Sus scrofa: one gene and its partner. The protein of the gene in region 2 purifies or fractionates together with the protein of the main gene of each other region. This does not show direct contact. Links are inferred from orthologs where the notes say so. Each region holds a gene or a part of one and is shown on either strand. Other genes may lie near its edges.

Region 1 (3,747 bases), on a different chromosome or scaffold from region 2:
AAGATTTGTTTGGGTTGGTTTGTTTTTGCTGCTAAGTGCAGCATTTCAGCTAGAGAGGGAGGCAGAATCAGCTTTTCTGGGCAGCCCAGCAGCTCAGCATTTCTAGCTTTGTTTTTCAGGAACGGTACCGCTCAAGTCCCCAAACAGAAGTCAACGAGGACCCATGGGTTGGCATGCAGACGGCAGGGTGGGGACAGTGATCCCAGGAGTGGGGGTGGGGAGAAATCTATTCACAGACCCTCGGCTCAGCTCAGCAGGTGCTCTGCCGCCCCCAGGCCCCAGCTCTTCCTGCCAAGGGGGTGGGTGGGACGGTGAGGCTGGATCTGACTGGGGCAGAGCTGAAGTGAGGAAGCTCCTGGGGACAGGAAGTCCTGGAACCTGTAACAGCTGTACTCCTCCCAGCTGAGGGAGCAGTAAACCGAGGTCTCATCCGGGGCCTGCTCCCTCCTCTGTGAGGCGGTCCGCTCACCCGCAGGAGAATGCTGGAACTCCACAATAAGCCCCGGTGCCACAGACCTTTTTAGAACTGTTTTTTTCATGAGTGGTTCTGCTTTACAAAAACCGCTGAACCCACAAAGTACCAGACCGGGGCCTGGACTGAGTGGGTGCAGTTCTGTCAACTGAACAGTCCTCTCGGGGGCCGGGGACCACCTGGAGATGGTGTGCGTGATACGTACATCCGTGAGACGGCTGCCCCTGGGGAAAGAAAAGACAGACACACTCTCACTTTGTTCAGGTTGCAGACAAATTCCAAAAACTAATGATAAACGGTAAGAGTCTGGGATTTCAATGACAAAGTAAAAGAAGGCTTTCTCGGATAACTGACAAAGGCGCCAAAAGCGAGTCCTGGTTGACTGTGGACAAAATGATTTGATCCTGAAGGGCTCCTTCTCGGATGAAGAAACGGCGGAGGCCACCCCATCTGAAGGACACGAAGACTTACTGGTTCTCAAGGCAGCTGCCCCGAGGGAGATAAACAAGGGCCTCTTTGTAAGAGGCCACTTCTGGGCCCAAACACGCGACTCGTGAACGCACTCAGCCTGAAATAGGGCCGTTGTTCCTCGCAGCTTCTGGAAGGATGACCTCGCCAAGCCCGACAACGCCACGCATTATTGAAAACAAACCACAGGGATGTTGTGGCCAAAACGCCAGATGTGCAGGGCAGAGAGAAAGGCTGTTTAATGAACAGGCAGAGCTCCGCAGTCAATGTGCTGCATTGGCTGGAGGGCGGCTGCCTCTGGCCGAGTGCCCAGCCGCACCTGAACTGTCCAGGGTACAGACTTGGGAGACGTGCTCGGAATCCCCAGCGAACACGTGTAGACCTTTCAGGAGTTTCAGAAGCACTTCGGGTCCTGCCTTGGCTCTGCGAGGGCTGGCTGCCTTGCCTTTGAGCCGACACCGACCCCACAGCACCTGTATCTCTCCTGTCTCGTGGGGACCGCCCCTCCCCCCAGGGCTCAATCACAAAAATGTTTGCTGAAGCTTCTCTCTGGGGTCCCAGTTTCCTTTCTTTCCCCTGGAAAAGGTGTTAATTCCCATGATCTCCCACCTCATCAGGCCTGGCTCCCAGGGGCTGCTGCCCATGTCAGAAATGAGACCTGTCCATGGAGGGAACTGTCGGCCCCACTGCAGCTCTCTACAGCCCAACAGCTTCTCCCAGGTAACTCCCTCCAATTGTTTCCAGCAAGGAGTGCAGGTTTGGAGCTTTGCATGAGACACCACCACTCACTCAGGAGGGGTGAACGTTCTGGAATGATCTTTGCCAAAGGCCGCCTGGGCCAATGGCAGCAACTCCCACATCCTGTGAGCCCCCAGGACCCAGCAACGGCCAGGAAGGTGAGGCCGGAGGTACCCCCGTCCCTGAAATCCTCGGCATCCTTCCCAGGCCCTTCTCGGCTGTGCCCCGGAGCAGAGATGCGGGGCGGGGGTCCTCGCTCCAGGGCGGAGGTGCTGGGCTGGGGTCTCTGTTTTCCGATAGCTCTGCCCTAGGGCTGGGTTCCCGGGGAGAGGGTGCCGGACAGGGGGGAGGACGGCCTCCGGCCTCACCAGCAGTTGAGCTTCCGCACGTTGTGCAGCTCCGAGGCCTTGGCCCGGGACAGGACCATCTTCCGCGTCAGCTTCATGGCGGCGGCCGCAGGACCCCAGACCCCGGCAGAGCTCTCGAACCGCTCGCTAACCCGAGGTGGTCGGCCCCGCCGCGGCGCGTTTCCAGGGGGCGGGGCCTATGTCGCCAGGGGCGGGTCCAGAGAGCCCATTGGCCGCCGGCGAGGGGGCGGGTCAGCGCGAGCGCAGTGGGCCGCCCGGGCTTCCTCTTCGCGCTTTGGCTCCGCCCCCCGCCCGCTCCGCCCTGCCCCGGCGGCGCGCCGCCGGTCTTGCGCCTGCGCAGAGTGGGAGGCCAGGCTCTGACGTCATCCTTCCGCGCCGGGGTTGGGGACCCACCGCCCTCGCCGAGCGTCAAGGGGGTGGGCTCTTAACTGCCCCGGGTTACAAAGAGTTAAAGAGTTGAAAGGACTTGTCCTGACCCCTTCGTCTCGGCACTTACGGAAGGAGGCAGGTGCCGAAGATACCGGCCAGCCCGAAGGGAGCCCTCACGGCACTTGAATGCTTTAGAAGTCAAGTTCTTTGGGCTGCCTGCAGAGGGCGCTAGGACAGGGATCCAGGATCTCAGACTGCTGGGGGGACGAGACCGAGACCGGCCTCCTCTGGGACCTCGTCCCCACGGCCCCGGTCCCGGCTTCGGCCCGCCCAGCCCGGTCTCAGCAAAGATCCTGCTGGTCACCCCAGCCCATCTCCGATCACCCCGGACACCTGATGCGTTCTTCGTCCCCCCTCTCCCGCGGAATCTAGTCCGTGACTCAGTCCCCTACCCGTCACGTCTCTCAGGAGCTTTCCACCCACTGGCCTCTCATGCGCCTTGGCCATAAATCCCCCGTCTTTGTTGAATTGGAGTTGAGCGCTCTCTTTCTCCTCTCACTGCAATAATTTTGAATAACGCTTTTACCAACTGGTCAGAATCATCGTTTTCTTTCACAGAGGTCAGCGATGGCTTTCTCAGAGTCACCTCCGAAGCCCAGGGCTGTGGAGGATCTCCCTGTTGGAGGGACCTCTGTGGTGAGGAGGGGTCATGATTCAGTGGGGACAGTGGGATTTTGCTGCAGGATCTCCCATCCCATCCAACACCGCCATTGTCCTTAGGAAGACCACAGGGAATTCTAAAAAGAGAAGCATTCGCACCGTAGTTTAACAACTGCTGCATTTTCTTTTTTTTCATTTTAGAAACCGTTGACGTTCCATCCACCCATTTTTATTTTAAGAGTTTGTGGAAGAACTCAAGACCCCTCAGTGGCTGTTCCTACCCACTTGGTGGCCTGAGCAGTGGGAGCTGCAGCCCAGTCTTCAGTGGCAGGCTAAGCATTCAGAATCTAGTATAGGGAACGGCCGGATGGGCACGGAGGCACCCACCTGCCACCACAGGTGAGTAGCGGTGACCTGGGGCTGCAGCGGCCCATTCACCCTGAAATGCCTCCTTGGTCGCAGGCTTCTCAGCTGCTCTTGCTCCTCCTCTCCCGTCTCTTCAGGATCTCTCTAGAAGCAGAGGTCAGGCGTGGCCTCCCGTGGGCGTGCACGGGAGATGGTGCCACGCAGGCACGCGCAGAACCTCCCGGGGGACCATCCACCACGTCAGACCCACGGGTGAGCTCCCCTGTTGCTGCCCGGGTGGCAGTAACCACACAGCACAGGGGAGAG
Region 2 (3,747 bases):
CCTCCTTCAGCTTCAGGTTTGGATTCTCCAGTATCTTGGGATTACTCTAGGGAAGGCAGTTTAGCCAAAGGGCTACCCAGGGTGACACTGCGCATGATCCGTTATTACAGAAAAGACTGTCTCTATCTTTGAAAGTCTTGCAATGAAGAAAGGTAGTTAGACTACTAAATCTTTCAATACACGGGCAGAACCTATTAGATATGATAGTGTAGAAAATTATATTTATTAGTTTTTTTAAAATTTTTTCTTTTTAAATCACATTGTACTTAATTTTTTTGAGACCTAAAAATAGTTTCTTGCTTCAACCATCCAAGACAGACTAAGAATAGGCTTGCTTTTATTTTATTTTTAATTTCATTTTTTATGGCTGCACCCATGCCATGGGGAAATTCCCTGGTCATGGATCAAACCAGAGTGATAGCAGTGACCCAAGCTGCTGCAGTGACAACACTGGAACATTAACCCACTGAACCACAAGAGAACTGCTACGCTTGCTTTAAAAAACATTCTATTTATTTTTTTCATTGAGGTATAATTGATGTACAATATTATATGTTTCAGATGTACAACATAGTGATTCAAAATTTTTATGTTATACTTCATTTATAGTTATGACAAAATAATAGCTATATTCCTCTGTGCTGTACAATAGTATCTTATTTATTTTATATAGCAATTGTGTCTATACCCATACCTTTCTCATAGCCCTCCCCCTGGTGACCACTAATTTGTTCTCTACATCCATGAGTCTGTTTCCTTTTTGTTGTATTCATTAGTTTGTATTATTTTTTTTCGATTCCACATGGAAGTGATAACATACAGTACTTGTTTCTGACTTATTTCACTTCAGGCTTGCCTTTTTTTTTAAGGGCCACAGGTTCAGCAAACGTAAATTTCCAGGCTAAGGGTTGAACTGGAGCTACAGCTACTGGCCTAAACCACAGCAACCAGATCTGAGCGACTACTACAGCCTACACCACAGCTCTCCACAAAGGATCCTTAACCCACTGGGTGGGGCCAGGGATTGTACCCGCCTCCTTATAGATACTAGCCGGGTTTGTCTCTGCTGAGCCACATGGGAACTCTAAAACTTGCTTTTTAAAGCAAAACTAGTTTTCAAAACGTGGCATCCTAAAAAACATCCAAGTTAAAAAAGTCCCTTTCTCTTTGTAGTACGTGTATGCACGAGTTTATCATATGCTTTACTCCATACCACTTTCTAGCAGGTTCTGGCCCTCCTCTGTGCTGCACTCTCGCGAGGGAGCCAACCGGCTGAACCTCTCCACTCCGCTCCTCAAGCACCTGCAGTGCCCCTCCCCGCCCCGCCCAGGCCCAGTCCTACCCAGACCCCGCCCCGCCCCGCCCCGCCCCGCCCCGCCCCGCCCCACCCACGACTCGCCCATCCTTCCCGGCCACCCCCGCTCCGCGTCGGCTCCCGCGCGCTGACGTCACACGGCCGCGCCGGGGACGCCCCGCCCTCTGCACTGGCTACAGATTTTGGGGCGCCGGGTATGGAGTCCTGAGCTTGAACTGCCCAGCTCTTCTTTGCGTCGCCCGGTGTCCAGCGCCCGCGTGGCGCGGCGCGGGGGAAAAGCCGGCAGATAGCCCCCAAACCCAATGAGTCTGCTTCGTGAGGCCGCCGGCAGCCGCGTCTGAGAAGTTGGGGGGCGGCGCCCGGGGCACTCCCCCCGCCGCCGTTGCCAGGGGCTGGGAAGCCAGTTTGTGCCTCCCGGTGGCGCGGACCGGTGTCCCGGGGCGTTGGCCCGGGCGGCGCGGGCTGCAGTGGGGGACCGGCAGGATCCCACCGCCACTTCCTGACGGGGCCGGGCGCTGCGGTCACGAACTCGGTTCTTTTTCAGGATGTCCTTTTTGGACCGCGGGAGAGTGCTTCTGCCTCGCTGACCCCGCGGGAATACGGCGACACGGTCGGCGCCTATCGACCCTCACGGCCGTTGCTGCCCACGACCTGGGTCCAAGGTGAGTGGCTCTCAGGGAAGCGGCGACGTGCAGAACAGTGCAGTCATTTTGGAAACGGGGAGCCCTTGTCTAGACTTTCTGATGTGGAGGTTGCAGGGATCCTCACCTGAAGTGCACGGGAAATAGTAACCGCATCTCTTCAGTGTTAATTCTCCAGGGAACAGTGTGCGTTACTAAGCAACTCTTTGACATTATTTAAAAACTTGCAGTGATAATGGATTTAAAATAATAGAAGTGTTGTTACCGGTAAGTCATTTATATTTCTTAGAATTTCTTCATGTATAATTTCTACATGCTTAAAATTTCTGTATGTAGAGAATTAAAAGTTCTGTTAGAGTTCATCGTAACTTTTTTTTATACAGGCCTAATTTTTATTTTCTAATATAAGGTCTGTCCCCAAGAAGCGGAAGAGTTTTTATTGCCATGGTAAATTACATCAGAAATAATCATATGAAGGGTTGAAGGTAATATCCAGTATATGCTGGTAATGGCCTTTTCTTATGATGCAGCAGTATTGTAGACACCATGGAGGGATGCCAGATAAGGAGAGAATTAGTTCTTTGTTTCTGCTGTAGATTTGTCTGACATTAGAGGATCCACAGATCTGTTTTAATATTGAAAGGTAAGGAGCCTATTTTGTGGGATAACAGGTTTTTGCACATTGAGTCACCTTTAGGCGTTTACTAAAGGTTACAGAAGTTGGCCACAGGAGTTGTTTTGAGGTCATTTTAATAATAAATTAGCGTTGTATTCAAAGTTAATTTTACTCTGTCTAGTGTCCTACCTCTAACCTAAGTCATGGACATGACACCATTTCATGAATATAAACTTTACATGTTGGTATTTTCCACTAGGAAAGTTGTTAATTGTTATCTGAATTGTCTTAGAGAGAGGAATAGACCTAAAGAGAAGAAAAAACGTATTTTGAAAAAAGTGTAATAGGAATTCCATTTCTGCTTTCTGCTTTTTTGAATTATGAGAAATAAGGCAGGGACTTCCCTCATTGAGGAGATATTTTGTCCCTCTCCCACAGTCCAAAATGGCATTTATTGTTTTAGGAGAGCTATATGTGTGGATTGCAGTTGCAGACTGTACCACATGGGCTTCTGGAAATCTGTTGACATTCCTTTACCATTGTTTCCCTTCAGGACATTTTGCTTGTCTGTCAAATAACTGAAAGAGCTGAAAAGGCTTAATGTTCTACATTGGTGGGGATACAGTTTTTCATTCATATACTCTGACATTTTTCACATTTGGTGCACAGAATTTTGCCATGTCAAATGTAGTTGTGGCTTAAAGACATTCTTAGTAAAATATGAGGAAAGATGTCTAACTTGACTACAGGCTATAATATTTTTTGGAGCTCAGTTGACATACTTGAAAAGAGTGATGCCACACAGAAAGATTTTGAATGTCAGCGTTTGAAGTTTGGAAATGGAGAAACTGTTGAAGAATTTTAACCCGAGAAATTGATTTAGGCAGCATTCTTCCTATTTCTTTCTGTCAGCGTTTATTATTGCTTTTAAATTTAAATTTTAGTTATGGTTTTGAATAGTTAATACAATCAGATGGTTTGAAATTTAGAAGGTAGAAAAAGATAGAAAGGCCTTTCAACTACTCAGTTCTCTTCGCTGAAGTCAGTCAGTATTACCAGTTTGTTGTGTATCCTTTCAGATGTTACTTACACAAAAGATTGCATTTTGTGTATGTAAATGCAAGTATTTTATATATACATGCACACGTGTATAAGTAAGTGTAAATATAAATATA

Evidence for each region.
Region 1: the proteins of NEK1 (region 2) and C13H21orf2 purify together in Homo sapiens (affinity purification with mass spectrometry; 3 studies listed by BioGRID and IntAct, with this or other methods). This does not show direct contact. The link is inferred for Sus scrofa from reciprocal best matches to the Homo sapiens genes NEK1 and CFAP410.

What each region holds. Positions count from the first base shown.
Region 1 is NC_010455.5:207,202,516-207,206,262, forward strand, and holds the start of C13H21orf2 (protein C21orf2), read right to left. Parts: upstream 2,227-3,747; 5' UTR 2,124-2,226; coding exon 2,047-2,123; intron 697-2,046; coding exon 678-696; intron 1-677. UniProt on the Homo sapiens protein: Plays a role in cilia formation and/or maintenance. Plays a role in the regulation of cell morphology and cytoskeletal organization. Involved in DNA damage repair.
Region 2 is NC_010456.5:20,143,215-20,146,961, forward strand, and holds the start of NEK1 (serine/threonine-protein kinase Nek1), read left to right. Parts: upstream 1-1,416; 5' UTR 1,417-1,509; exon of another isoform or gene 1,510-1,859; 5' UTR 1,860-1,977; intron 1,978-3,747. UniProt on the Homo sapiens protein: Phosphorylates serines and threonines, but also appears to possess tyrosine kinase activity. Involved in DNA damage checkpoint control and for proper DNA damage repair.